Pelodiscus sinensis: one gene and its partners. The protein of the gene in region 1 purifies or fractionates together with the protein of each later gene. This does not show direct contact. Links are inferred from orthologs where the notes say so. Each region holds a gene or a part of one and is shown in the gene's direction. Other genes may lie near its edges.

Evidence for each region.
Region 2: the proteins of ATXN2L (region 1) and G3BP2 purify together in Homo sapiens (affinity purification with mass spectrometry; 4 studies listed by BioGRID and IntAct, counting the BioPlex papers as one, with this or other methods). This does not show direct contact. The link is inferred for Pelodiscus sinensis from reciprocal best matches to the Homo sapiens genes ATXN2L and G3BP2.
Region 3: the proteins of ATXN2L (region 1) and LSM12 purify together in Homo sapiens (affinity purification with mass spectrometry; 4 studies listed by BioGRID and IntAct, with this or other methods). This does not show direct contact. The link is inferred for Pelodiscus sinensis from reciprocal best matches to the Homo sapiens genes ATXN2L and LSM12.

The regions. Positions count from the first base shown.
Region 1 is NW_027465989.1:89,400-99,221, forward strand, and holds the start of ATXN2L (ataxin-2-like protein), read left to right. Parts: upstream 1-5,319; 5' UTR 5,320-5,460; coding exon 5,461-5,642; intron 5,643-9,791; coding exon 9,792-9,822. UniProt on the Homo sapiens protein: Involved in the regulation of stress granule and P-body formation.
Region 2 is NC_134715.1:5,421,697-5,431,634, forward strand, and holds the start of G3BP2 (ras GTPase-activating protein-binding protein 2), read left to right. Parts: upstream 1-5,927; 5' UTR 5,928-6,162; intron 6,163-6,992; exon of another isoform or gene 6,993-7,029; intron 7,030-9,938. Other genes in the region: USO1 (general vesicular transport factor p115), read right to left, coding at 299-364.
Region 3 is NW_027466028.1:357,094-366,895, reverse strand, and holds the start of LSM12 (protein LSM12), read left to right. Parts: upstream 1-6,023; 5' UTR 6,024-6,109; coding exon 6,110-6,230; intron 6,231-8,478; coding exon 8,479-8,612; intron 8,613-9,802. Other genes in the region: G6PC3 (glucose-6-phosphatase 3), read right to left, coding at 1,413-1,519, 2,907-2,963, 5,084-5,619. UniProt on the Homo sapiens protein: Nicotinic acid adenine dinucleotide phosphate (NAADP) binding protein. Confers NAADP sensitivity to the two pore channel complex (TPCs) by acting as TPC accessory protein necessary for NAADP-evoked Ca(2+) release.

The DNA.
Region 1 (9,822 bases):
ATGGAGCAGCCTGTCTGTGGGGAGCTCAGACCCTCCATGGACGAGGCTGCTGCTCTGTATCAAGAGGCAGCAGTTCAGGGCAGCCGGTCTGCACAGGGAGCTGGTTTTTAAACTGGCTCCCCTCATGGACTGACTCCACCTGCCATCCCACACTGCTGCCCCTGTGGCAGGGGCTCCTGGGAGTGCACAGGCTGCTGGCCCCACCCACAGGGACTATCGAATAGTCGTGTAACCACAGTTACACTACATCTAACATCCCTACTCACAATCCAGATCGGGGCGGGGAACCTTTTTTGGGTTGGTGGCCACTGACCCTCAGAAAAAAAGCAGTCAAGGGCTGCACACAAGTTAGGGGAAAACCCCCTCATTGACGTGGCCACCCACTGGGAAGCAGAAAGATGTTCCCCACAGTCCCCTGTGCACTAGAGCCCAGAGGGCCCAACTAAGGATGTTCAAATGCGGTTATCAGGCTAATCGTATAGTTGATACAATTTGTATCAACTCCAGGAGCCACCTGCACTGCGGCTCTGCATTTTAAATGTAGTAAGAGCTGCTGGGCTCCTACTACATTTAAAATGCAAAGGCGGAGAGATCAGCACAAGCCAGGACTGGTTGGCCCCAGCTTGCACTGAGTCCAGCAGCCCCTGTTCATGATGGACAGCCCTGTCCGCTGCAAACCTCTGCCTGCGGCCAGCCCTGGTTGCTGCAAACAGGGGCTGCTTGGCAGCAACAGCCCCAGTCCACGGGGTGTCCAGCTCCCTGCTGGGACCTCTATGGATAGGGGCTGCTTTGCAGCAGCCTGCCCTATCTGCCCCCTTGCTGCCTCTCATAGGGAAGGGCGCAGCAGGGAGAGCAAGACCAGTGGGCCCTCAAGCTGTCCCCACTGACCCTGTGTTCCCACTTCAGCCTTTGAAATGTACAAGAGAGCTGCAGGAAGCAGGGGGCCAGCAAGACAGTCCCTGTTCTCCCTGTGGCACTTTCAGCGGTTGCACGGTTACCTGTTTAACCCACTTTTTACATCTCTCGTCAATAGTGTGACATGGCTGCAAAAATAAGCAGACATCACTCTGGGATACATTAATATGAGTGCTGTCAGCAAGACATGAGAAGTCATTCTTCTGCTCTACTCCATGCTGATTAGGCCTCAGTTGGGAGTACCGTGTCCGGTTCCAGGCACCATATTTCAGGAAAGATGTGCAAACATTGGGAAAAGGCAAAAGAAGAGCACCAAAAGTGATTAAAGGTCTGCAAAACCTGACCTATTCTGGAAGACTGAAAGAAATGGATTTGTTTAGTCCGGAAAAGAGAAATCTGAGAGGGGGCATGATAGTAGCTTTCAAGTACCTAAGAAGTTGTTAGACAAAGGAGGGAGAAAATGTATTCTCCTACACCTCTGATCATAGGACAAGAAGCAACTGGCTTAAATTTCAGAGAAGGAGATTTATGGGGGACATTAGGAAAAGTTTCCCGTCAAGGTGCTTAAGTGCTGGAATAAATTGCCTAGGGAGATTATGGAATCGCTATCATTAGACAAGCACCTGTCAGAGATGCTCTACATGGTGCTTGGTCCTGCCTGCAGGGGACTAGATTTGAAGACCTCTCCAGGGTCCTTCCAGTTCCATGACTTAGGTGTCCCTGTGCTGCTGGGCTGGGGTGAGCTCAGCACATTTCCCAGAAGATTACAGTGCGGGTGGTCTAGGTTGGATATTAGGGAAAACTATTTCCCTAGGACGGTGGTGAAGCACTGGAATGGGTTCCCTAGGGAGGTGGTGGCATCTCCATCCCTAGAGGTTAAGCCCCAGCTTGACAAAGCCCTGGCTGGGTTGATTTAGTTGGGATTGGTCCTGCTTTGGGCAGGGGGCTGGAATCATAGAATCATAGGGCTGGAAGAGACCTCAGAATGGACTTGATGATCTCCTGAGGTCTCTTCCAGCCCTATGATTTGAAGGTGTCTTTCCTCATCCAAAAGTTCTGCAGCTGAAAACATACATAACAACGTGACCCACCTGAGCCAAAAGTGACGTGCTCCATGGTGCGCAACTGTTCCCTGAATGCCCAAAGTGATCAAATGCCGCTTCTGCCAAACTCAGACGATGCCTCAGGCAACAGTGAATCCCATGAGGTTTGAAACTTCACCATTAGCTACAGGGCTGTTCAGTGCCGTGCTGCTGACAGTTATGCTAATACGGGAGAGCCGGGTGGGATCCTCTCTTGTACACAGCGATGGCAAGGGGAGCAGAAAACAAGGGATTTAGAAAAATGCTTAGCATGCCGGGACCATAGAGTCCAGACCCATGACGCCATCCGCTCTGCCTTCCCACAAGAGCTAACAGTGAAGGTGGAGAGCTACCCACACTGCAGTGCTCTCTGTTCATGCTGCTGCCCCAAGTGTGGAAGTGCTCTGCAGACAGAGGACAATGGGAACATGAAACACCACCTTTCTTTTAGGGCTTTTTGATCAGCAGCTACACTTTCAGTGAAGCAATTCGGGCAGAATAGATATACCTAGAAACAGGACGTGAAATGTTAACAAGGAGGGTAATTAATGACTGGGATAATTTCCCAAGGATTGTGGTGGATTCTCCTCCACTGACTGTTTAAAATCAAGATTGGATTTGTTCCTTAAAGATCTGATCTAGTTCAAATAGCCATTAACTCAAGGCTGCCTATACACTGGGACACAGAGGTCAGACCAGACAATTGAATCTGCCACCATCTCAATCCGCTCTACCTCTTCTCCTCTGCCCCCTCCCCAGCTCCACCCCTCCAGTTCCTCCCTCATCTGCCCCTCCCCAACTCCACCCCCTCCTGCTTCCTCCCTCCTCTGCCCCCTCCCCAACTCCACCCCCTCCTGCTTCCACCCTCCTCTGCCCCCTCCCCGATTCCACCCCCTCCTGCTTCCCCCCTCCTCTGCCCCCTCCCCGGCTCCACCCACTCCTGCTTCCCCCCTCCTCTGCCCCCTCCCCGGCTCCACCCCCTCCTGCTTCCTCCCTCCTCCGCCCCCTCCCCGGCTCCACCCCCTCCTGCTTCCCACCCTCTCCTGCTTCCCCCCTCCTCTGCCCCCTCTCCGGCTCCACCCCCTCCTGCTTCCCCCCTCCTCTGCCCCCTCCCCGGCTCCACCCCACCTGCTTCCTCCCTCATCTGCCCCCTCCCCGGCTCCGCCCCCTCCTGCTTCCCCCCTCCTCTGCCCCCTCCCCGGCTCCACCCCACCTGCTTCCTCCCTCATCTGCTCCCTCCCCGGCTCCACCCCCTCCTGCTTCCTCCTTCATCTGCCTCCTCTCCAACTCCACCCCTCCTGCTTCCTCCCTCCTCCGCCCCCTCCCCGGCTCCACGCCCTCCTGCTTCCTCCCTCCTCCGCCCCCTCTCCGGCTCCACCCCCTCCTGCTTCCTCCCTCCTCCGCCCCCTCCCCAGCTCCATCCCCCTCCTGATTACTCCCTCATCTTCCCCCTCCCCGGCTCCGCCCCCTCCTGCTTCCTCCCTCCTGTTCCCCCTCCCCGGCTCCGCCCCCTCCTGCTTCCTCCCTCCTCTGCCCCCTCCCCGGCTCCACCCCCTCCTGCTTCCCCCCTCCTCGGCTCCACCCCCTCCTGCTTCCCCCCTCCTCTGCCCCCTCCCCGGCTCCACCCCCTCCTGCTTCCCCCCTCCTCGGCTCCACCCCCTCCTGCTTCCTCCCTCCTCTGCCCCCTCCCCGGCTCCGCCCCCTCCTGCTTCCTCCCTCCTCTGCTCCCTCCCCGGCTCCACCCCCTCCTGCTTCCTCCCTCCTCCGCCCCGTCCCCACGCCCTCCTGCTTCCTCCCTCCTCCGCCCCCTCTCCAGCTCCACCCCCTCCTGCTTCCTCCCTCCCTGGCTCCACCCCTCCTGCTTCCTCCCTCCTCCGCCCCCTCCCTGGCTCCACGCCCTCCTGCTTCCTCCCTCCTCCGCCCCCTCCCCGGCTTCACGCCCTCCTGCTTCCTCCCTCCTCCGCCCCCTCCCCGGCTCCGCCCCCTCCTGCTTCCTCCCTCCTCCGCCCCCTCCCCGGCTCCACCCCCTCCTGCTTCCTCCCTCATCTTCCCCCTCCCCGGCTCCACCCCCTCCTGCTTCCTCCCTCCTCCGCCCCCTCCCCGGCTCCACCCCCTCCTGCTTCCTCCCTCATCTTCCCCCTCTCCGGCTCCACCCCCCTCCTGATTCCTCCCTCCTCCGCCCCCTCTCCGGCTCCACCCCCTCCTGCTTCCTCCCTCCTCCACCCCCCCCGGCTCCACCCCCTCCTGCTTCCTCCCTTCTCCGCCCCCTTCCCGGCTCCACCCCCTCCTGCTTCCTCCCTCATCTTCCCCCTCCCCGGCTCCACCCCCTCCTGCTTCCTCCCTCCTCTGCTCCCTCCCCGGCTCCACCCCCTCCTGCTTCCTCCCTCATCTTCCCCCTCCCCGGCTCCACCCCCCTCCTGCTTCCTCCCTCCTCCGCCCCCTCCCCAACTCCACCCCCTCCTGCTTCCACCCTCCTCTGCCCCCTCCCCGATTCCACCCCCTCCTGCTTCCCCCCTCCTCTGCCCCCTCCCCGGCTCCACCCCACCTGCTTCCTCCCTCATCTGCTCCCTCCCCGGCTCCACCCCCTCCTGCTTCCTCCTTCATCTGCCTCCTCTCCAACTCCACCCCTCCTGCTTCCTCCCTCCTCCACCCCCCCTGGCTCCACCCCCTCCTGCTTCCTCCCTCATCTTCCCCCTCCCCGGCTCCGCCCCCTCCTGCTTCCTCCCTCCTCCGCCCCCTCCCCGGCTCCGCCCCCTCCTGCTTCCTCTCCAGCTCTGTCCCCTCCCTGGGGACAGGGTGTGTACACGTCACGGTGGGGGCTGAGGCTGCGCAGGGCAAGAGCCGGGACTCATTTTTGTCCACTCTATAAGGCGCCCCTGGCGGAGGGATTCCGATGCGCTTGCGCTTTAAGTTTTCTCTGCCCCTCCCCGCCTCCGGCAAGTTCCCTCTCAAGGACGCGCATGCGCAGCGAGGGTCAGCTAGCGTGCGGCGGATAACACGCTCGGTGGGGGGGGCGCACGCGCAGAGGGAGTGCAGCTCTACGCATGCGCAGTAGAAAGCAGCCTGAAGGTTCCCTCCAACGCGTAGCGCCTCGGACGCTTCGTCTTCCCACGCATGCGCAACGCCCACCAACGGTCTTCTTACCCGGCGGAAGAATCTCAAAAAGTTCTCCACTCGTGTCATCACGTGGTTCGACTGATCACCGCGGTGCGGAGGTGCCCGGCTGGCGGTGCCGTCGGCGCAGGCGCAGTGAGCTGGCTTCCCCGCCGCGCTGCCCTTCTGCTCTCGGCTCAGCCAGGCTCATTGTGCGGAAGGAGCCAGGCCGCAGCGCGCTCCAGCCCGGCCGCCGGCGCCCCTCCCCCCGCCCCGCGCGCCAACCGCCGCCGCCTCGCGCCGCCGCTCGAGCCGCCTCGCGCGCGCGCGCCCGCCCGCCGGACTCCTCCGGGGCCGCGCCGGCGCCGCCATGTTGAAGCAGCCGCAGCCGCTGCCCCCGCAGCCCCCCCCGGGCGGCCCCGGGCCCCAGGCCGGGCCCCCGCCCGCCCGCAAGGCGCCGCCACCCGGCGCCCCCAGCCCCAACGGCAGCCTGAGCCCCAGCGCCGGGCCGGCCCGGGCCGCGGCCCCGACCGGGGGAGGCGGCGGCACCAGGTAACGGCGGGGCGGGGCCGGGGCCCTCGTGCGCGGCGGGGGGGCTGGGAGGGAGCGAGGGTCCCGTCACTGCGCGCGCGTCGCGGGGGGGGGGGGGCTCTAACAGCGCGAGCGCGGCGCTGATTGGTCGTTTGTACAGCCAATCCCCGCCCAGCGGCGCGCGAGAGCGAGACCCCGGCCCCTCCCCCGCCGTGGGACCCAGCGTCCGCCCCTCCCCCCCGCCACGGAACCCAGTGTCAGCTCCTCCCCCGCCGTGGGACCCAGCCTCCGCCCCTCCCCCTTCCCCCCCAGCCACGGAACCCAGTGTCAGCTCCTCCCCCGCCATGGGACCCAGCCACCGCCCCTCCCCCTTCCCCCCCAGCCACGGAACCCAGTGTCAGCTCCTCCCCCGCCGTGGGACCCAGCCTCCGCCCCTCCCCCTTCCCCCCCAGCCACGGAACCCAGTGTCAGCTCCTCCCCCGCCGTGGGGCCCAGCCTCCGCCCCTCCCCCTTCCCCCCCAGCCACGGAACCCAGTGTCAGCTCCTCCCCCGCCGTGGGACCCAGCCTCCGCCCCTCCCCCTTCCCCCCCAGCCACGGAACCCAGTGTCAGCTCCTCCCCCGCCGTGGGACCCAGCCTCCGCCCCTCCCCCTTCCCCCCAGCCACGGAACCCAGTGTCAGCTCCTCCCCCGCCGTGGGACCCAGCCTCCGCCCCTCCCCCTTCCCCCCCAGCCACGGAACCCAATGTCAGCTCCTCCCCCGCCGTGGGACCCAGCCTCCGCCCCTCCCCCTTCCCCCCCCAGCCACGGAACCCACTGTCAGCTCCTCCCCCGCCGTGGGACCCAGCCTCCGCCCCTCCCCCTTCCCCTCCCAGCCACGGAACCCAGTGTCAGCTCCTCCCCTGCCGTGGGACCCAGCCTCCGCCCCTCCCCCTTCCCCTCCCAGCCACGGAACCCAGTGTCAGCTCCTCTCCTGCCGTGGGACCCAGCGTCCGCCCCTCCCCCCCGCCACGGAACCCAGTGTCAGCTCCTCCCCCGCCGTGGGACCCAGCCTCCGCCCCTCCCCCTTCCCCCCCCCAGCCACGGAACCCAGTGTCAGCTCCTCCCCCGCCGTGGGACCCAGCCTCCGCCCCTCCCCCCCCGCCACGGAACCCAGTGTCAGCTCCTCCCCCGCCGTGGGACCCAGCCTCCGCCCCTCCCCCTTCCCCCCCCAGCCACGGAACCCAGTGTCAGCTCCTCCCCCGCCGTGGGACCCAGCGTCCGCCCCTCCCCCCCGCCACGGAACCCAGTGTCAGCTCCTCCCCCGCCGTGGGACCCAGCCTCCGCCCCTCCCCCTTTCCCCCCCAGCCACGGAACCCAGTGTCAGCTCCTCCCCCGCCGTGGGACCCAGCGTCCGCCCCTCCCCCCCGCCACGGAACCCAGTGTCAGCTCCTCCCCCGCCGTGGGACCCAGCCTCCGTCCCTCCCCCTTCCCCCCCAGCCACGGAACCCAGTGTCAGCTCCTCCCCCGCCGTGGGACCCAGCCTCCGCCCCTCCCCCTTCCCCCCCAGCCACGGAACCCAGTGTCAGCTCCTCCCCCGCCGTGGGGCCCAGCCTCCGCCCCTCCCCCTTCCCCCCCAGCCACAGAACCCAGTGTCAGCTCCTCCCCCGCCGTGGGACCCAGCCTCCGCCCCTCCCCCTTCCCCTCCCAGCCACGGAACCCAGTGTCAGCTCCTCTCCTGCCGTGGGACCCAGCGTCCGCCCCTCCCCCCCGCCACGGAACCCAGTGTCAGCTCCTCCCCCGCCGTGGGACCCAGCCTCCGCCCCTCCCCCTTCCCCCCCCAGCCACGGAACCCAGTGTCAGCTCCTCCCCCGCCGTGGGACCCAGCCTCCGCCCCTCCCCCCCCGCCACGGAACCCAGTGTCAGCTCCTCCCCCGCCGTGGGACCCAGCCTCCGCCCCTCCCCCTTTCCCCCCCAGCCACGGAACCCAGTGTCAGCTCCTCTCCTGCCGTGGGACCCAGCGTCCGCCCCTCCCCCCAGCCACGGAACCCAGTGTCAGCTCCTCCCCCGCCATGGGACCCAGCCTCCGCCCCTCCCCCTTCCCCCCAGCCACGGAACCCAGCGTCAGCTCCTCTCCTGCCGTGGGACCCAGCCTCCGCCCCTCCCCCTTCCCCCCCAGCCACGGAACCCAGTGTCCACTCCTCCCCCGCCGTGGGACCCAGCCTCCGCCCCTCCCCCTTCCCCCCCAGCCACGGAACCCAGTGTCCACTCCTCCTCTGCCATGGGACCCACTGTCCGCCCCTTCTCCCCCAGCCACGGAACCCAGTGTCCACTCCTCCTCTGCCATGGGACCCACTGTCCGCCCCTTCTCCCCCAGCCACGGTACCCAGTGTCCCATCCTGGGAACTCAGTGTCCGCCTTTTCCCTGCCGTGGGACCCAGCCTCCGCTCCTCTCCCTCCCTCCCCCCCAGCCACGGAACCCAGTGTCCACTCCTCCCCCGTCGTGGGACCCAGCCTCCGCCCCTCCCCCTTCCCGCCCCAGCCACGGAACCCAGAGTCCACTCCTCCCCCGCTGTGGGACCCAGCCACGGAACCCAGTATCCATTCCTCCCCCGCCATGGGACCCAGCGTCCGCCCCTCCCCCCCAGCCACGGAACCCAGTGTCCACTGCTCCCTTGCCGTGGGATCCAGCCTCCGCTCCTCCCCCTTTTACCCCCCAGGCACGGGACCCAGCATCTACTCCTTCCCCGCCGTGGGACCCAGCGTCCGCCCCTACCCCTTCCCCCCCCAGCCACGTAACCCAGAGTCCACTCCTCCCCCGCCGTGGGACCCAGCATCCGCCCCGTCCCTTCCCCCCCCCAGCCACAGAACCCAGCATCCACTCCTTCCCCGCCGTGGGACCCAGCATCCACCCCCTCTCCTCCCTCCTGCCATGGAAGCCAGCATCCGCCCCTCCCCTCCGCTGTGGAACCCAGTGTCTGCCCCTCTCCCTTCCCCCCCAGCCATGGAAACCCAGTGTCTTTCCCCCTAGCCATGGGACCCAGCATCTGCCCTTACCCCACCATGGGACCCAGGCGTCTGGCCTCCCAACCCCATCCTTCAGCCCCTGTCGTCCCTCCCAAACTCTAGGACCCAAGCATCTGGCCTCCTAGTTGCCCCTCACCCCCATCCCCACAGAGCCCGGACAGGACACACACATCCCCCCTCCATGAACCCTGGCTTCTGGTCTCCCAGCCCCACCTCCCCCACTCTGGAATTCAGGTGTCTGGCCTCCCCCCTTGCCTCTCCAGAGCCAGGATGGGCTCCCAGCAGCCCCTCCCACTCTCTCTGGCCACCACCCTGAGCTGGGACAGGACCCTGGTGTCCAGGCTTCTAGCATGTCCCCTCTCCTTGCCCACCCTACATCTCTTGCCCCTCCCAAAGATGAGCTAGAACCCAGGCATATAGGCTCCCTGCCCCCTACCCTCCACTCCCCAAGCAGAGCCAGACTAGATCCCAGGTGTCTAGGCTCCTAACCTTCCCCCCTTCCAGAAGCTCCCAGGCTCCTTCCAACCCAGATCTGGGCTTGAACTCCCATATCTGAGTTCCATGACCCCACTTCCACCCAGAGCTGGGATAGGACCCAGGTGTCCAGGCCTGGGATGTAATAATGTAGTTGATTAACTGATTACGTGTATTCCTCCCTCCTCCCCCACTTTGCCAGTACATTTTTTTAGCAGGCTGGCCAGCAGCCTGGCTCAGTCCTGGATTGTGACAGATCCAGGACCTACCCCTGCTGCGGCTCTGCATTTAAAGTGTATTAGGAGCTGGGTGGGCAGGCAGCCCAGTTTAATTCTGGCTCGCGCTGGGTCTGGAAGCTCAGCCCCTCCTCTGGACAGGGGCTGCTGCCACCGCACCCTGCTGCCTCTGGTTTTTATACTGGCTCCCCTCACAGACCAGTTCCTGCCTGGCACCAGCGAAGTGGCGGGGGGCTCCTTGGGAGTGGTGCCGGAGTGCACAGGCTGCTGGCCCCACTCCCAGGGACTATAGAATAGTCAAGTAACTGATAAGAATTCATGAGATCAATTAGCCGCTATTTAACATCTCTCGTCCGGGCTATCGGCCTGGTGAGCCCGGCCTAGTGGCTGGGCCTGGCTGTGGGGCCTGAGGCTATAGCAGTTCTGTAATCAGCACTCTCTGTGATTTGTTTTCAGGGGGCAGAGCACAGGGAAGGGGCCTCCCCAG
Region 2 (9,938 bases), on another chromosome or scaffold:
ACACTGGCCCTTTTGCCCGAAGGGGCGCAGCAGGGCATGTCCGCAAGCAGCACTGACAAGCGGACAGGCGCGCGTGGGTGCTGCTGTGGAAATTCAAGCGGCCGGTGTAGGCAGCCGGCAAGTTTTTCCGGCAAAGCGGCTGATTTTCCGGACACACTGGGCGGCCCAGGCACAGCCGGTGCAGCCCGCTGCTTTGGGCCAGGCCCGGAGGCCGAGCACACGGAGGCTGTTCGGTGCCCGGCGCAGAGCACACTGGGGGCGGGGGCGCCACTGACCAACCCCGCCCGGCCCGACTCACCGTGTCGGCCCCCGAGGGCTGGGCCCCGGCGCTCTGGCCGCCCATGACGCCCCGCAGGAAGTTCATGGCGGCCCGGGCCGGGGTCGCGCCGCGCTGGCGAGTGCGGGCCGCTCCCGGCTGCACCCGCCGCCCGCGCCGGAAGCAGCCGCGGCGCCTGCGCCGGGACGTGGCAGCGACGTGGCCGCTCAGAGGGCGAGCGAGGCGGGGCCGGGGCCTGACAGCCGCGCTCGGCCCGGCCTGCCCGCGGGCAGCGCTGTGGGGGCAGGGCCCCGCCTCGCCCCGGCCCCCGAGCGCCCGCCCCCGTCACGCACCGCCCCGAGCCCCCCCCCCCCGGTCCCTGAGCGCCCGCCCCCCCGTCACGCACCGCCCCCCGCCCCGAGCCCCCCCCACCCCGTCACGCACCGCCCCGAGCCCCCCCCCCGGTCCCTGAGCGCCCGCCCCCCCGTCACGCACCGCCCCCCGCCCCGAGCCCCCCCCCACCCCGTCACGCACCGCCCCGAGCCCCCCCCCACCCGATCACGCACTGCCCCCCCCGGTCCCTGAGCCCCCCCGGTCCCTGAGCCCCCCACTCCATCACGCACTGCCCCCTGGTCCCTGAGCCCCCCCCCGGTCCCTGAGCCCCCCACCCCATCACACACTGCCCCCCCGGTCCCTGAGCCCCCCACCCCATCAAACACTGCCCCCTGGACCCTGAGCCCCCCACCCCATCACACACTGCCCCCCCGGTCCCTGAGCCCCCCACCCCATCACACACTGCCCCCTGGTCCCTGAGCCCCCCACCCCATCACACACTGCCCCCCCGGTCCCTGAGCCCCCCACCCCATCAAACACTGCCCCCTGGACCCTGAGCCCCCCACCCCATCACACACTGCCCCCCCGGTCCCTGAGCCCCCCACCCCATCACACACTGCCCCCCCGGTCCCTGAGCCCCCCACCCCATCACACACTGCCCCCTGGTCCCTGAGCCCCCCACCCCATCACGCACCCCCCCAGTCCCTGAGCGCCTGCCCGCAGCCCCCATCACGCACTGCTCCCCCATTCCCGAGCCCCCCCAGTCCCTACGCCTATTCCACCCCATCATGCACCGCCCCCGTCCCCGAGTCCCCCCCGAACCCTCCTGTCTGTGAGCCCCCTCACCCCATCACGCACTGCTCCTGAACCCCCCTCCACCTCAACACACAGTGCTCCTGAGCCCCCTGCCCTTGAGTTCCGCTCATCCTAACATATACAACCCCTGAACTCTTCTCCACCTCAACATGAACAGCTCCTGAGTCCCCTCCCCATCTCAATGCACACAGCTCCTGAGACCCCCTCCACCAGCAACACAAACAGCTCCTAAGAGCCACCCACAGCTCCCACCTACCCTTAACATGCATAGCTCACAAGCCCCACTGGTCCCTGAACTCCTCTATTCCCAACACCACAACCAAGCCTTCCCCATCACTAACCCACACAGAGCCTGTGCTCCCACCTTAGCCACCACACAGTGGCTGACCTGCCACTCCATGCCTGACTTCAGCCTGATCAATGCTACACACACATAGACCAACACGCACAGAGCATCTGAGCCTCCCCATTCACTCACTCCACACACATGGGGGCTGTGTCTAGACTGCATCCCTTTTCCGTAAAATAGATGCAAATTAGACACATCGCAATTGCAAATGAAGCGGGGATTTAAATCCCCCCCGCTTCATTTGCATAAACATGGCTGCCGCTTTTTTCCGGCTTGGAGCTTTGTCAGAAAAAAGCGCCAGTCTAGACGGGGATCTTTCAGAAAATAAAGCCTTTTCCGAAAGACCCCTTAGATCCGAGCTGGAAAAAAGTGGCAGCCATGTTTATGCAAATGAAGCGGGGGGGATTTAAATCCCCGCTTCATTTGCAATTGCGATGTGTCTAATTTGCATCTCTTTTACGGAAAAGGGATGCAGTCTAGACACAGCCATGGAGCCTCAGGGCATGTCTACCTTACAAACTTACATGGACCTATCTTAGGTCAACTTACAGCTACCAAGTAATTACTGCTGTTTTCCATGTCCACATTATGCTCCTTCTCTTAGTGGTGCACAACCTCACCACTTCCGCCAACCTAAAAGGGGCAGTGCAGCGAAAGAAAGCCCCAGGGAATGCCTGAGCTATGAGCTAGGGTGGTGGTTCCCGCCATAGCACCCACCGGGGCATTTATGTGCACCCGCCAAGTGACCAGGACCGGCCCAAGCCATTCTTGCGCCCCGGGCGCATGGCGCATGCATGTCCCCTGCCCTGGACACATGGTGCAGGTGCGGCTCTGTCCCCAGGCGCGTGGCGCATGTGTGGCCCCGCCCCCGGACGCAGGACGCATGGCGCATGAGCGGCCCTGCTCCTGGGCGCCCAGCAGCCCCAAAAGGTTGGGGACCACTGCTGGGTTCACAGCAACAAGCCTACCACACTTTGTTGTTAATTTCAGGGCTCCTGTAGACAGCGTGAAATTGACAAGAATGACAGCCAACAACTGAGGGAATAAAGAAGTATCTACAGAGTTGCTGCAACACCCTTACTACACCAACATTAAACCCCTATGCCTCTCGTGGTGTTAGAGTTGTAAGTGCTCTATTCCACCAACACAAGTCCATGAAATAGAGCACTCTTCCTCCGACTTTTCTTACTCTTTGTACAATGAGGATTACAGGAGTCGGAGTAAGAAGTCCTTCAGCTTGACAGTATTTCGACATTATTTTGAAATAACTGCCTGCTGTGTAGACGCGGACTAAGGCTATGTCTACATTGGCAAGATTTTGCGCAAATACTTTTAACGCAAGAGTTTTTGCGTTAAAGCATTTGCATAAGAGAGCGTCTACACTGGCATGTGCTTTTGCGCAAGAGATGTGCTTTTGTGCAAAAGCATCCGTGCCAGTGTAGACGCTCTCTTGCGCAAGAAAGCTCCGATGGCCATTTTAGCTATCGGACTTTCTTGTGGAAGAAATTCATGTTGCCCATCTACACTGGCCTCTTGCGCAAGAACAGTTGCGCAAGAGGGATTATTCCTGAGCGGGAGCATCATAGTTCTTGTGCAAGAAGCACTGATTTCACATATTAGAACGTCAGTGTTCTTGCGCAAGAACTCCCCATCAGTGTAGACAGGCAGCATGTTTTTGTGCAAAAGCAGGTGCTTTTGCGCAAAATCATGCCAATGTAGACACAGCCTAAGTGTTTTAGTTTTGCCTGGAGGTCTGGTTGAGGGTTACAGAATTATCCCAGTTGTTATCTTGAAATTTCATTTAGATTTCTCTTATAAGCTGAAACTTCTAGTCATTTGGCATTGCTCATAGCCAGGAGATATTTTACTCCTAATTTAAACCTATGATTATTACATAGAGCAGTTTTATGTAATTCCAGTAGAAGTCTTTACTTCTCCTCCTCCCCCACCCCCCAAGAGTCTGAGGACTTTCAGTCCATTTTGAATTCTTCCATTGTGCAGTACCACTCTTCCTCAAGGGAAGCATCCTCCTTCAAGTGGTGACCAGACCAGGTAGCTAAGGAGGTTCACATATCTATATTTACTTTTATTTAGATTACAGAGGAAGAAGAGAAAACCATCCTGTTATCTAGAAAGAGATAGGCCAGAACTAGATTCCAGCAGATTTCAAAACCATCTATGCAAGGAAGACACAAATCAAGTTAAGATGACATCTCAAACCTTTCTATTCCACTAATCTGCCAACTCTTGTTTAAAAAACCACCATCTATGAAAAAGGTTATTTAAAATAACTATATTTCCCTTCTTAAGATAGTGGAAGTTAGTACTTAAAAGTTGATGTATATATATATATGTATATATATATGTGTGTGTGTGTGTATATATATATATATATATATATATATATAATTCTTACTGGTTTTGATTCAATTTAAAGATTTGCAGGACTGATGTAATTTAATTTCCCCATCAACTTTCTAAGTACCTGTATTCCTTTGTATGCAGATGGGATCAGAAGTAACTGATTCATACTCTGATTTGCCTATCCAGATGACAGCGTCCTATTTCGTTCTTCATTTTTATTGTATTTTAGATATTTTAATAAATAATTTAATAATAAATCTAAGTGACTAGATTATACGATTGCCCTATTATTGTGGTTTGACAGCCAAACACTGCAGTAGCAATACATCTAAAATCAATAAATGGATTTCTTAATAGTGATATGATACTCCAGGCTATCTATTTTCATTGTGCTAGAAATAGTGTGTGTACAACTTTGATAGGAGTACTCTAAAAGTCTTTTTAAAATAATTTATATGGATCTTCACACTGAACACTAACTTCCACATTTGCAATAGGAAATAAAAAGCGTTTGGTTATGCGATTGATGTACTGCCTCTTTAAGGTTCACATGGACCCTGATGATGATTAGGGGGCGGGACTGGAGTTTGCCTGTGTGCCCCAGGCCAGCAGTTCCACCTATCGGTGAGTGTCCTGGGCTACTTTGCCACGCAGCTACAGTTCCTGTGCAGGGAGAGGTTTGCTACAAGCTGACAAGGACCATTCGGCTTTTGGGTGAGAGCTTTTAACCGTGCAATTGCTCACAACAGCTCAGAATGAATCTGCATGTTTTCAGAGCATGACACCAAATCGCTCATTTCCCATTTTTTCCTTTCTGATAACTGAGACATTCTCTAATGGAAAGATTGCTAATGGGGGTAAAATAGTTTGTCTATGCACCAGCGGCTGGACCAAGACGTAGAAGAAAGAAAAGGATAATTTGTGAATAAATTTGTGTTTGGCAACTAAATACTCTGGTGGTGATAGATAGGTTAGAAAAGCCTAGTGTAAACTGTAAAATGCAAGGCCATTATGTTCTTGACAAATAGCTAGCTGCTTCTTGTTCAATTGCTTCCTATCCCCAGGGGATATATTGTTTCCTGGTTCCTCTCTTTATGTTTTTGTGGTTTACATTATTTTATAAACATATCCTGACTTGCTATTTACCTTGCTCTGCATCCACAAGACCTTTTTTCTTGGGCTCTTTTTTCCCAAAAGGAATTTTACGTATACATCACAGGTTTCAAAGCTGAATCTAGTTCGCAAAATATATATATATATTTTTAATTAGGCGAAGAATTGCTACTTCTGAAACACAGATACTGCCCTTTTGTGGGTTGCAAGTACAGCCAGCAGGGCTCCCTTGACCACAAGACTGCAAATTCCTCCCCCAGTCCCGAGCTACAGACCTCCTGTCCCACTCCCACTGCCTATTGTTTTGCCCGTTCCCATCTCCCCTGGTCCAGTGCCACTATCTGGAACGATCCCTGCAGGAGCTCGTGGCATTTTCCCTAGTCGCTCCTGCTCATTGGGTTGGAACGATCCCCACAGCTCGTGGCTCGTGCTGCTGCCCTGCAAAGAGCAAAGCCCCTTCCCGGGCCATTAGGGGGCCGCGCGCCTGCGGCCAAGTGCGGACGGGCAGGAGGAGGCGCGCGCCAGCCAACCCGCCCCTCTGCGTCACGCGGGCGGAAGCGGGTGGCTGCCGTACAACCCCCCTCGCGTGCGGTTCGGCGGGAAGTGAACGCTCCGCCGACGTCACAACGCGGACGCCGTTGATTGGTGGAAGCCCGGTGACGGGGGTTCCTGCCCTGGAACGCAGGGCGCGGAGAAGGGAGGGAGGAAGGGAGGGGGAGCGCGCGCGCGCGCCGGGAAAGGGGGGGGAGGGGAGACAATAAGGGAGCCGCGAAGCCGAAGCGCCCGGAGCCCGCGCCGCCGCCCCTCTCCTCAGGCTGCGCAGTGACCGCGCCCGCCCCCCCAGAGGCACCCCGCGGGAGAGGCCGCGCCCCGCGCACACGCCGCCAGGCCCCGGGGAGCGCCCTGCCCCGCGCACCCAGCCCGGCCCTAGGTGAGTGCGGGACGGGCCGCCCGGCATGTGCGCGGCCCCGCATCGGGCTGCCCCCCCCCCCCCCCCGCGGGCACGGCTGCGGGGACCCTCCCCCCTCCCTGCCCGGCCGGCGCGGGCCGCCTCCCGGAGCGGGGCAGGCTGCGCTCGGCTGGGGCCGGGGTGAGGGGAAGGCGGGCTGTCTCCGAACCCGAGGGAGCTCACACCCCCGGGCAAGGGGTATCGTTGGCAGACACGGCAGGGTGGGGGCTTCTCTGCATCCCGTTCCCAAGGCTCGGCGTTGCCCCCAGCAGTGGGGAGCCCGTGCTGCTGAGGGGGGGGGGTTATTTTTTTGTTTCTCACTTGTGTCCAGTCCCTGACTGGTTTTTTGTGTGTCAGTGACCTCCGACCCTAAAAAGCCCCCTGGTTTAGGCTGCAAAAGAAAGAAAATAGAGGCTGGTTGAGAAAGTAAAACTCAGGCGCTGAGGCTGGAGAGAGCACCTGTGTCAGCATCCTCTTCCCTCTCAGGGGTTATTCAGCCTTGCCCCATGTGTGGCTTTGAACCTTTGGTTGCATTTGCTATCTGCCTTTCTAATAGGCTAGGAGTTAGGCAACAGCACTAGACTCCATTACAAAGAGATCTGTTTGAGAGAGCTGCCTCGCTTTATCTTCACATTCCTGAGTCTCTGCTTTGCTCATTTAGAGAGCAGCAGGAAAGGTAACCTCAAAAGGTGAGGGAGGTGGTGGATGGACCAGTTTCTCAGCAGCATTTGACTCTCCAAGGGCCACATGGTACCTTTTGGACTGCATCTAAGGGAGGAAAATTTTATTACTGTGTTCTGTGTTTGTTCCAGGAGCTCTATTTTGATTCTTGTTACATTGGGACCGAGGGTATGTATACCTCCTATTTATTACATCAGATGCAATACCTATGTGGATTAAAAAAGGTTCTCTCTGATCACCCTATCTAGGTTTAGAAATTGTGTGGATATTCATAGTAAAAATTCTCCTGATAGGTCATCTCTTGTCCGTCCAGCAAGTTTTCTTTTGTTCTGCTTCTCCAGTATAATTTATATGGATGAAATATTTGTTCATTCATTCAGAAGTCTTCAAACCCACAGTACTTATCTCCATTTACAGGGTGTTTTGTGAGTGTTAAATATATTGAAGAGTAAGGATGTGAACAACAGTAAGCATAAGTAAGGGTGATGCTTACCTGTTACTGGTTAACCAGCGCCTGGGAGAGGCCTCACATCTGTGATGCACCACAGGCGGCTACTGGGAGCCACTCTGGCCAGGCCCACTATGCTGCAGGTGGGGAACTGCTCTGGTTGGCGCAGCCCCCGGCTTAATTGGTTAACATAACATTTAACTACTTAATTGGATAATGGAATTTTACGTCAAGAACCACATCTCTGACTTGAAGGTATAAACTATTGTCTGTTGCTTGCTTTCATTGTACTATATTATACCTGAACTTTGTTAGGAACACTCTCTTCCCCCAGTGGCTTTCAGTTTTTCAAAAATAAAGAGCCACTTGGTTAGGGAATGGAGCTGTGGAGAGACAAACATTGTTAGAGATTTATGGTGAAACTTGTAAAATGCCAATTCAGATACTAAAGAGCCGGCAATCCTGCAAAAACTTAGATATGTAAATAACACTGTTGACTTCAATGGTACTTATTAACCATGTGTTGCCTTAGTAGCTGCTCAGGCAAGTTTATCCACCAGTAGCTCCCCATAAAACTCTTTTACCCCACTGCCATAAACTCCCATCAGGCTGCTCCCTGCAACACCTCTGAAAGTTTGAGTAAACAGATAAACTTTGCAATGTGCCATGAAAGTCAACCATCTAGGTTATGTTTGTATAACATTTCATGATATCCAAACAGTATTATTAAACTTGCACACCTATATTTCTATTGTTGCTGATTACCAGGGCTCGCCAAGCGGCAGTGAGCCCTGCGCGGTTCTGCGCATGCGCAGATCGCTCTGCGCCGGCTCTTCCGGGGTGTAATCTGCTCGCCACGGGCAAGTAGATTACATTATTTGTTGAGCCCTGCTAATTACATATTATATGTATTATATAACCCTTAAGCAGAAGTTTTGTTTGTAGATAATCCAAGCATGACACCCTGGCATACACAGGTTGGGAGAGTTTCTGTACTAAATACATTTTTTTTTAACAGTAGCCTTAATAAAAGTTGTAAAATTAAGGCCTTTTTTTGGATAGCCCTGCCAACAGGTAGAACAGAAGGTTTATTGGTTCACAGGGATAACTCATAACTCAGACTTGTTAGCACAGGAACCAGGCGTAGTTAGTAAAATCTGTCTTGGGGATAGGGGCCCTAGGCCCCCTCCTTGAATCCTAAAATAGCTTAGACTCACTCACACGCCCAGCAACTGGTCCCAGCCTGCAGGCAGCCCCGCCTCCTCCTTTGTCCCCTTTCCTGGCAAAAGGTGTTATCTGGTTGCACCCTGCACCTAGGCTCAGGTTAAAAGAGAGTCTGAGCTATTGTGTACATGCTGGGGACAGACTGGGCAGCCCTCCCCCTCAGTGAGAGTCACACCCAAAACTCCCATCCACAGCTGGGCACGGGCACGGGTGCAGTGCCTTGGGAAACTGAGGTGCGCGTACACCCAGTTACAACAGTGCAGCACAGGACAGTAGAGATCACATACAACATGACGGTGTGAATACAATCCCCGCTTTGTCACACCCTCCCATGCTGTTTTTTAAGTGTGCTGGTCCAAAGCCTTTAGGAGCTTAAAATTTAGCTTTAATTTTACTTGGAAGTAACAGCTAGTCAGCCAGCACAGATCCTGCAGTACTGGTGTCATATGTCCATGGCAATATATGCTGCTGGCCAAGTAGGCTACCACCTGTAGTAGCTCAGGTTTCTAGATTGATAATCAGGTGTTGAAGTGACTAAGGAATAGACTATAGAAGGGTTTAAGGACTATGTTTATAATCTAACCGAATGCAAATTGCAGAGGTAGGGCAGGGGAAGCATTCATGACTCCTGCAGTTTGTGATCCAATAATGTTTAGACTGAAAATACCAGTCCCTCTGAGGTGGAGAGATGAAGTCCTCTGTATTCTGATTGAGGATATGCTATTATACATGAGAGAACCAGTTTTCTGGATTGAGTTTCAACTCTGTTATAATGACCACCTTTGGTATTTTAGGTTTGTAAATCTACCTTTTTATAGTACTTTGAGGAGAATATCACTCTGTTTCCATCCTGTGAATGTGGGGAAGAACATTTCTGCATTCAAGCAATTCTAGCATCTCTTTCAATTCCCCACCACATTATGGAGCCTACACTTGTAACTGGCTTGGAACCAGGTATGGAGTGAAGTGCACTTCAAAACCCTGTTGCAGGTGGTCCACACACTGTGCACATGACCTTAGAGCCAGAGCAGAGTACTGCTGTTGGACACCAAAGCTAGACTGCAGTGTTTAATGGTGGTGTTGTGCTAGCTGGAGTACTTTATTGGTTGATGTTCTGATGGTGAAATTGTGGGCATGAAGAACTGTGCTTTAGTTAGGGATGTGAAAGCTTAACTGGTAAGCATCACGTTTAAGAGGTGATGCTTACTGGCTCTGGTTAACCGCGGGAGGCTGCTCCAGCCCAGCAAAGCCCACCGTGGACATGGGCACTTCAGCCCAGTTGATCAGTTAAATGGAATTTTACATCCCTAGCTTTTTTTTTAAATTGTATCCTTTGGTATATATGGTTGTGACTACTTTCTTCCACTATTTGATCTGAGGAAGTGGGTCTGGCCCACGAAAGCTC
Region 3 (9,802 bases), on another chromosome or scaffold:
GCTACAGGACTAGGCTGATAAGAGGGCTGGTACTTACCCGCTGCAGAGCACTGGGGACGGTGCTACAGGACTAGGCTGATAAGAGGGGTGGTACTTACCCGCTGCAGAGCACTGGGGACGGTGCTCCAGGACTAGGCTGATAAGAGGGCTGGTACTTACCCGCTGCAGAGCACTGGGGACGGTGCTCCAGGACTAGGCTGATAAGAGGGCTGGTACTTACCCACTGCAGAGCACTGGGGACGGTGCTCCAGGACTAGGCTGATAAGAGGGCTGGTACTTACCCGCTGCAGAGCACTGGGGACGGTGCTCCAGGACTAGGCTGATAAGAGGGCTGGTACTTACCCGCTGCAGAGCACTGGGGACGGTGCTCCAGGACTAGGCTGATAAGAGGGCTGGTACTTACCCCCTGCAGAGCACTGGGGACGGTGCTCCAGGACTAGGCTGATAAGAGGGCAGGTACTTACCCACTGCAGAGCACTGGGGACGGTGCTCCAGGACTAGGCTGATAAGAGGGCTGGTACTTACCCGCTGCAGAGCACTGGGGACGGTGCTCCAGGACTAGGCTGATAAGAGGGCTGGTACTTACCCGCTGCAGAGCACTGGGGACGGTGCTCCAGGACTAGGCTGATAAGAGGGCTGGTACTTACCCGCTGCAGAGCACTGGGGACGGTGCTCCAGGACTAGGCTGATAAGAGGGCTGGTACTTACCCCCTGCAGAGCACTGGGGACGGTGCTCCAGGACTAGGCTGATAAGAGGGCTGGTACTTACCCGCTGCAGAGCACTGGGGACGGTGCTACAGGACTAGGCTGATAAGAGGGGTGGTACTTACCCGCTGCAGAGCACTGGGGACGGTGCTCCAGGACTAGGCTGATAAGAGGGCTGGTACTTACCCGCTGCAGAGCACTGGGGACGGTGCTCCAGGACTAGGCTGATAAGAGGGGTGGTACTTACCCGCTGCAGAGCACTGGGGATGGTGCTACAGGACTAGGCTGATAAGAGGGGTGGTACTTACCCGCTGCAGAGCACTGGGGACGGTGCTCCAGGACTAGGCTGATAAGAGGGGTGGTACTTACCCGCTGCAGAGCACTGGGGACGGTGCTCCAGGACTAGGCTGATAAGAGGGCTGGTACTTACCCGCGAGGGATGTAAAATCTCGATAAATCAGTTAACCGGTTCAGGCCTGCGTTTACCTACCGTTGAACCGGTTAACTGGCTCAGTGGAATCCTGGGTAGGGGACTGCCCCAATCCGGATGGAGCAGCCCCATGCAGGGCTGGCTGCTGGATCCAGCGGCCAACTGAGTGGGGTGGGGGCCTAGAACACAGCAAGGTGCGGGCGGGGACTGCTCCCAGGTAACCCTTACTCCTCACATCCCTAACAGAAGCGGCAGCTTTAGCATCTTCATAACCAACCTGGCCCTGTTTCACAGGAGACAGGGAACTGGCGAAGCAGGACGTTTTCCTTGCTGTGGAGCCCGGATTCATAGACCCACCAGAATGGCCGTTCTCCAAACAAGAACCTGGGGGCAGAAAGAGGAGACAGAGCTGAGGTCTGAAAAGCAAAATGCTGAAGGCTCCTGGAAGCCACAGGAGCTTCAGGGGGCGCCAAGGGTGTCACGCGCGGGGGGCGCTGCAGGGAGTCGCGCGGAGGGGGCGCTGCGGGGAGTCGTGCGGGGGGGCGACAGGGGGCGCTGCGGGGAGTCGCGCGGGGGGGCGGCAGGGGGCGCTGCGGGGAGTCACGTGCGGGGCGGCAGGGGGCGCTACGGGGGGGGCGGCAGGGCGCGCTGCGGGGAGTCGCGTGGGGGGGGGGGGCGCTGCGGGGTGTCCCGCGGGGGGGCGGGGGGCGCTGCGGGGTGTCCCGCGGGGGGGCCCCCCCTCACCACTTGGCCAGCACGTTGAGCCACTCGGCCAGGCAGCCCAGCCAGAGCACCGCCCGCCCGACGCGCCGCTCCAGGCCGTAGGCCAGCGGGAAGAGGCCGCTGAAGACGCGCGCGGGGTCGGCCAGCGCGGTCAGGCCCAGCCACAGGCCCTCCAGGGGGGGCGGCCCGGCCTGCAGCGCCCCGGCCCAGCGCGCCCCGCCGCGGTACAGCGCCTCCATCGGCCCCCGGACCCGCCCTCCTGTCCCGGCCGCCTCGGCGGGATCCCGCCCCGCCCCCGAGTCCAGCGTCTGCCCCGGCACGCACCCCTCCGACCCCCCCGGCACGCACCCCCCTCCCACGGCACCCCCCCGCCCCCTCCGACCCTCCCCGGCACGCACCCCCCTCCCACGGCACCCCCCCGCCCCCTCCGACCCCCCCCGGCACGCACCCCCCTCCCACGGCACACCCCCGCCCCCTCCGACCCCCCCGGCACGCACCCCCCCGCCCCCTCTGACCCCCCCGGCAATCACCCCCCCACTGCCCCCTCTGACCCCCCCAGCACTCACTCTCCCCACCCCCTCTGACCCCCCTAGCTCTCACCCCCTCCTGCCCCCTGTAGCCCCCTCCAGCACTCACCCCCGCCCCTTGTAGCCCCCCCGGCATGCACCCCCCCACTGACCCCTCTGACCTCCCCTGGCACGCACCCCCCCCCACTCCCTCTGACCCTCCCCTGGCACTCACCCTCCCGGCCCCTGTAGCCCCCTCCGGCACTCACCCCCCCCCCCCCACTGCCCCCTGTAGCCCCCCCTGCACTCACCCCCCCGCCCCCTGTAGCCCCCCCTGGCACACACCCCCCCCCACTGCCCTCTGTAGCCCCCCCTGGCACGCACCCCCGCACACTGCTCCCTGTAATCCCCCCCGGCACTCACTGACCCCATCCGGCACTCACCCCCAGTGCCTCCTGTAACTCCCCAGTACCCACCCCCCCATGCCACCTGTTACCCTCCCAGTGCCTCCTGTATGTCCTCACTGCCACTTGTAGCCTTACCCGCACTGCCTCCTGTAGCCCCCATCCTCCACTGCCACCTTCCAGGCAGCCTTTCTCCTGCATTAAGAAGCAAAAAGGATCACACACCAGAGTTAAAACAAAGAAAGAAATGCTTGTAGGCTACCTTTAATTTATTCAGTGGTAATAAACAAATTTTCTTTTTGCTAAACTGCTGCTTACAAAGGGACAATGAAACCTTTTCTTTGTCCCTTTCGGAAAAAGTAAGGAAGATGCCTTGATGCTTCCTCAAGGGATGTTCATAAGAGAAAAACTTAAAAAACAAAATCTGGTCTGTAGCACTTTATAGACTAACAAAACATGTAGATGGTATCATGAGCCTTTGCAAAAAAGTTAGAAAATGAGTTTGGGATCCATCCTTTCATGGTGCAATTTGCTTCTCCAAGATTGCTGCAGCCTTGGCTACTTTGGAATGATGACATGCAAAGTGTTTCACCAGGGATAAGGAAACTGGAGGAGTTCACTATTTTATTCTGCGTCATAGCATCTTTTTAAGGATTGGAGCCACTGTATTTTTTGTTCAGGTGTGTTGGTTTTTGGTTGCTTGTAGGCTTGTCTGTTTGATTTTTGGTTTTTTGCACACATGCTACACTGCAAACTTTAGTGAAAAATAAGATCCACAACTGGTGCCAGGATCTCCTTGCAGGGACTGGGGCCTATATTTGTATCACACATGCATTCCGTATTGGGATGGGTTCCCAAACTTGGGGGCGTGAAGAAATTCCAGGGGGGTGTGAGGTGACCCAGCCCCCCCCCTTCAAGTCCTCTCCCCCTCCAGTTTTGCTGCTATTTTTGTTTTTCGGCCCGGGGCAGTTCCTTTTTTTTTTGCTTTTGCTGAACAAGATTTGCTGCTATTTTTTATTTGGAGGGGGTGAGGGTTTCTTAAAAATCAAAAAGGGGGTGTGATGCCCAAAAGTTTGGGAACCACTGGTAGACTGTATGGCTGCGTCAGACTGGCAAGATTGTGCGCAAATACTTTTAACGGAAAAGTTTTTCTGTTAAAAGTATTTGCGCAAGAGAGCGTCTAGACTGGCATGTGCCTTTGCGCAAAAGCATCCGTGCCAGTGTAGACGCTCTCTTGCGCAATAAGCTCTGCCGGCCATGTTAGCCATCGGGCTTTCTTACGCAAGAAATTAACGTTGCTGTCTACACTGGCCTCTTGCACAAGAGGGCTTATCCCTGGGCGGGAGAGTCGCAGTATTTGCGCAAGAAGCCCTGGTTTTGTACATTACAACGTCAGTGTTCTTGCGCAAATACTCGCGGCTAGTGTAGACAGGTGGCAAGAGTTTGCGCAAAGTCATACCAGTCTAGACACAGCCATCATTTTTCTGGGTTGGGGAACTGATTGTTGATGTGTCAGTAAAATGTTTGACTCATTTGCCACAGCAGAAAGGGTGGTGAATAATAAATATGAGCTTTATTTTCCTCGTTGTTTATTTGCATGAACCCACTTTGGGAATTACTTAATGCAGCATTCCTGTAAGGCAGCAATGAGGAACCTAGGCTAGTGAGTGGCCCTTCTTCGCCTCAGTGGGCCACAAGACTGTCATAACCAAGATAAAAGGAAAAACTATGTAGCACTTTCAAGACGAACAAGATGGTTTAATAGGTGATGAGCTTTTGTGGGCCAGACCCACTTCCTCAGATCATATTCTGGAAGAGAATTGGCATGACCATATATATCATAGCCACCAGCTAGGAGCACACAGAGCCACAACGGCGCCAAGGGGCACGCATAGACTCAACCTTGGGCACGCTGGAGCTTAGTGTAGGAATCACTACAGCTTGAGCTACAACCCAGCTGGCTCTCAGCTGAGGCTGTAGGGCTCCCCTTGCTCTTGTCTCTTGCTGTAGTGGTCTACAGTGGTGGCTTCTTGCGCAAGAACATCTTGCGCAAGAAGTCTTGCACAAGAACACGTCCACACTGCCATGTGTGAGCTGTCCTCTCTTCCCAGCCGTACTGTACATTTCCTTGTGCACGAGCTCCTGAGCAAGAGAGCTTACACCTGTTAGAAAAGGGCATCGCTCTTGTGCAAGAAGCCCTCTCTTCCCAGCCGTACCGTACATTTCCTTGTGCACCAGCTCCTGAGCAAGAGAGCTTACACCTGTTAGAAAAGAGCATCGCTCTTGTGCAAGAAGCCCTCTCTTCCCAGCCGTACCGTACATTTCCTTGTGCACCAGCTCCTGCGGAAGAGAGCATCGCTCTTGTGCAAGAAGCCCTCTCTTCCCAGCCGTACTGTACATTTCCTTGTGCACCAGCTCCTGCGGAAGAGAGCTTACACCTGTTAGAAAAGAGCATCGCTCTTGTGCAAGAAGCCCTCTCTTCCCAGCCGTACCGTACATTTCCTTGTGCACGAGCTCCTGAGCAAGAGAGCTTACACCTGTTAGAAAAGGGCATCGCTCTTGTGCAAGAAGCCCTCTCTTCCCAGCCGTACTGTACATTTCCTTGTGCACCAGCTCCTGCGGAAGAGAGCTTACACCTGTTAGAAAAGAGCATCGCTCTTGTGCAAGAAGCCCTCTCTTCCCAGCCGTACTGTACATTTCCTTGTGCACGAGCTCCTGAGCAAGAGAGCTTACACCTGTTAGAAAAGGGCATCGCTCTTGTGCAAGAAGCCCTCTCTTCCCAGCCGTACTGTACATTTCCTTGTGCACCAGCTCCTGCGGAAGAGAGCTTACACCTGTTAGAAAAGAGCATCGCTCTTGTGCAAGAAGCCCTCTCTTCCCAGCCGTACTGTACATTTCCTTGCGCACGAGCGGGCTGGCAGTGTGGACGCTGTGCGGGTTCGTGCAAGGACGGCCGTACTTGTGCAAGGAGCAGCGAGTGTAGCTATCGCCTAGGCGTGGGGGTGACACACCGGGCAGATCCCAATCCGTGCATGCAGCATAGTGCTGGAGATGCAGCCGAACGAAAGGCAGGACCAGGCAGCACTTTGCTAGGGGCGGGTCCGGCCCCGGAAGCTCATCCCCTAATAAACCGTCCGGGGAGCCTGTGAAGCGCTGCCCTGTCCTGCTGGCCACGCCCCTCCCTCCGCGTGTCCCCGCCCCGCCCTCTCTGCGGCCCCGCCCCCTTGCGCGATGACGCCAGACGCCGCGCGCGGGCCGACGTCCCGGCCTGGCCCCGCCCCCCGCCTGGCGTGGGGCTCCCTGGGGCTGAGCCGAGCCGCGGCCGCCGCTGCTGAGACAAGATGGCGGCCCCGGGCGAGTACTTCAGTGTGGGCAGCCAGGTGTCGTGCCGCACGTGCCAGGAGCAGCGGCTGCAGGGCGAGGTGGTGGCCTTCGACTACCCCAGCAAGATGCTGGCGCTCAGTATCCGCCGCGCGGGGGGTCCGGGGGGGGCGCTCAGTATCCGCCGCGCGGGGGGGCCTGTGGGCCCGGGGGGGGCGCTCAGTATCCGCCGCGCGGGGGGGCCTGTGGGCCCGGGGGGGGGGCGCTCAGTATCCGCCGCGCGGGGGGGCCTGTGGGCCCGGGGGGGGCGGCGCGGGACGGGGGGGGCGGCCTGTAGGCCGGGGGGGGCGGCGCTCAGTATCCGCCGGGCGGGGCGGGGGGGCCTGTGGGCCCGGGGGGGGGGCGGCGCTCAGTATCCGCCGCGCGGGGGGGCCTGTAGGCCGGGGGGGGCGGCGCTCAGTATCCGCGGGGCGGGGGGGGCGGCCTGTGGGCCCGGGGGGGGTGCGGGGGCGCGGCGCGGGACACGTGTGTGCGGGCGGGGGGGCGGGCCGGGGGCACTGGCCGTCGCGAGCCCCCGCTCAGTCTCGCTCCCACCTGCAGAGCCGCCGGGAGCGGGCCCCGCGCCTTTCCCCGCACGCCCGGGGGGCCTCGGCCGGCCGCTCCCCGCACCTGTGCCAGGCAGGGCCCGAGCGGGCCGCGGGAGCCCTGGAGAGGAAGAGGCGGCGCACGGAGGGTGCCTGGTGGGCCCAGGGCCTGGCTTCCCGGGGAAGGGTGCGCTCTGTACGCAGCTTTCCCCGTGTGCTCTCCTCCTCTTCCACCTTTCTCCCCTTTATGAGGGCCGTGCTCTTCCTGTGGTGGAGGGAGAGCTGATTGCTGGCGGCTTTTAAGCTGCAGACTGTTTCATTTCTATGGCTGAGGCCAGACTCCCTCTCCTCCTAGGAGTGGAGAAGCAGCGTGCAGAGCCATATGTCTAATGCAGTCTCCACACTCGTCTCTATATGTTCTTCTCTGCTTACTCTAGCAGACAGATGAAGGAGAGGAGGACTAACTATCCCTCTTCAGCAGGAACAGATTGCGCAGGAATTAATGTCAGTGCTATAAAGGTTTTTCTGGGGGTGGTAAGCTGGTGTCTAATTTACACGGTTCTGTCATTCTAGAAGTGACAAACTATCTCAAATGTATGTAAGGTTATGTTCTCTGAAGTGTGATTATGAATGGAAAAATCTCTTCTATGACTCTTTAGAGCTTGTCATCCATAGATGTAGGTGAAAGTATTAATAGAGTAACTTGTGTTCAGGTTGCATCTGCAGTAAGGGAATGTTATTTGGTCTAGAAACCCGGTGGCTGCGCTTAGACCGGCAAGTTTATCCAGAAAAACTTGCCAGCTGTCTACACTGGCGGCTTGAATTTCCGCAAGAGCACTGACGATCTCATGTAAGATTGTCAGTGTTCTTGCGGAAATACTATGCTGCTCCCGTTCGGTCAAAAGCCCTCTTGTGCAAATGCTTTTGCGCAAGAGGGCCAATGTAGACAACGCAGTATTGTTTTGCTCAAAAAAGCCCCTATCATGAAAATGGCGATCGGGGCTTTCTTGCACAAAACTGCGTATAGATAGGCACGGAGGCTTTTCCGAAAAAAGTGCTTTTGCGGAAAAGCGTCCATGCCAATCTAGACACTCTTTTTTAATGGGAAAACTTTTCCATTAAAAGCATTTGCGGAAAATCATGCCAGTCTAGACGTAGTCGGTGCGTGTTAAGGTTTCTCTCTATAGACAAGTAATTCTGGAGTATGGTTGGGTATGAAATTAAAGCTCAGTTGCTCGCCTGCAGTAGCTACCCATGTGTACATTTACTCCAGAAAGAGTGCCCCCACAGAGCTATTCTAGAGTAGTTTATTCGGCAGTGGCTTATTTTGCTCAATTTCTTCATGTTGAGAAACAAAGGATTAGTGACTGTTCTCTGTACTGATCAGCAAAACCTTGCCCCATGTCTGTTGAAAATCTTGCCCTTTCTATCTTCCTTGACTAGAATGGGGAAGGTTCTGTGTGCTCCTGAAAAGTACACTGCAGATCATGCAGCATCCGAGGTTGTCTAGTGTACTTACAACAGTTATTAGCAAAAACAGATTCAGTCCCATGGTCAGGAAACCCCTGCTGGCAGCAGCTGTGTTTAAATAATTGTTGCTAGCACTGTTTCTGCTTTTTACTGCTGACCAATCATTTCACTGTTATACACCTTAGTGCGGTGGAAGAACTTACCTGCTGAAAATCTAACTCCTCTGTTGATTTGTTCCCTAACCGGTATCATGTAGCCCTCCTTGCCAGTTTTCATTTCAGAGCTGTTAACTGTGTCCGCCTGGATTTGTTTTCCTTAATGCTATTTTCCTCCAGAATGTCCCTCTTCCAGTGGAAAGCCCAACCACGCAGATATCCTGCTCGTAAACTTACAGTATGTTTCAGAAGTGGAAATAATTAATGACCGCACGGAAACCCCTCCTCCTTTAGCTTCACTCAATGTTAGCAAGGTAAGGGCCCTTTATCCTTGTCTCTCCTTTTGTGTGCTCATGGATTTATGCTTGATTTAATTGACAGGAAGAGTAAATGCACTGTTACTTGTATTATGAATCAGTTGCATTTCTTACTGTTTAAATATCCTACTTTGCATGATATTTGGTTAGTTGACATGGCTTTTATCAATTTAAATCAGACTGGTCATGTGCATGGTGCTATTCTGGTTCTTCTTGTGCAGTGAAGCACTTAAACGTGCATTAAAGTTTCTATAAAAGGGCAGCCTGGGCATCTTTATACTTGGCAATTGTCATTAGGCTACAGTAGAAATTGTGGGAGGAATGGTCTTCCAAGGTGATTGGTCCATGGGCAGCTGAGCTCCTTGTTGTGCAGATGAAAATTTGAGAGTCTGGAATCTTGTGACCAGGCTTCATTAGGTGCTTCTGTTTTGCCAAAACATAGTACGGTGCATTCCTGGCTGAATGAAGCTAGAGGAGGAATCTATTGCCATCCAATTCTTCTGTTGGGTGTGGGTTACAAGGCACCTGACAAGACCAACTTTTCATAAGTCTTTTTTTTACCAGGCCTTTCTGGACAGTTGTCTGCCATGACTACCGTATATAGGTTCGTTTTGGGGCTTGTTTACACAGAAAATCCACCATGCTTTTGGATCTGATTTCAACATGGCCTTACCCTTGGAAACTGGCACTGTGGCTTAACGCTTGTGCTATGCTCTTGGCATTTCAAGTGCTGTGGGTGCAATTTGGGACCACTGCAAGACCCAGCTCTGTCAGGACTTTACTGTGTTGTGGTGGGTCTCAAAGGCTTATAAGATATGTGGACTTATGATCCAAAGACATCTACATTAGGACACCACCGTGGCAGTTCTGTACTAAACCCCTGTAACCCTTTACTGTGTAGACCCTTCCAGCTGTGCCGCTGTAGTGTAGACTCTTCCTATAGCAACAGAAGACGTGTTCTCATTGCTGTAGGAGACTGCCTTCCTGAACAACAGTAGCTATGATGACAACCATCCACTTAGCTGCATCTACACTGCATAGCTGTAGTGTTTGGGTGTGGATTTTTCACACCCTGAGTGCTTTAGCTATGTCAATCTAACTTTCAAGGTGTGGACCAGGCACAATGGCAGCTTTGAGTATTAAACTGTGTGAAGTGGCAGTGACAGAAGGCTTCCTACATTCACTAT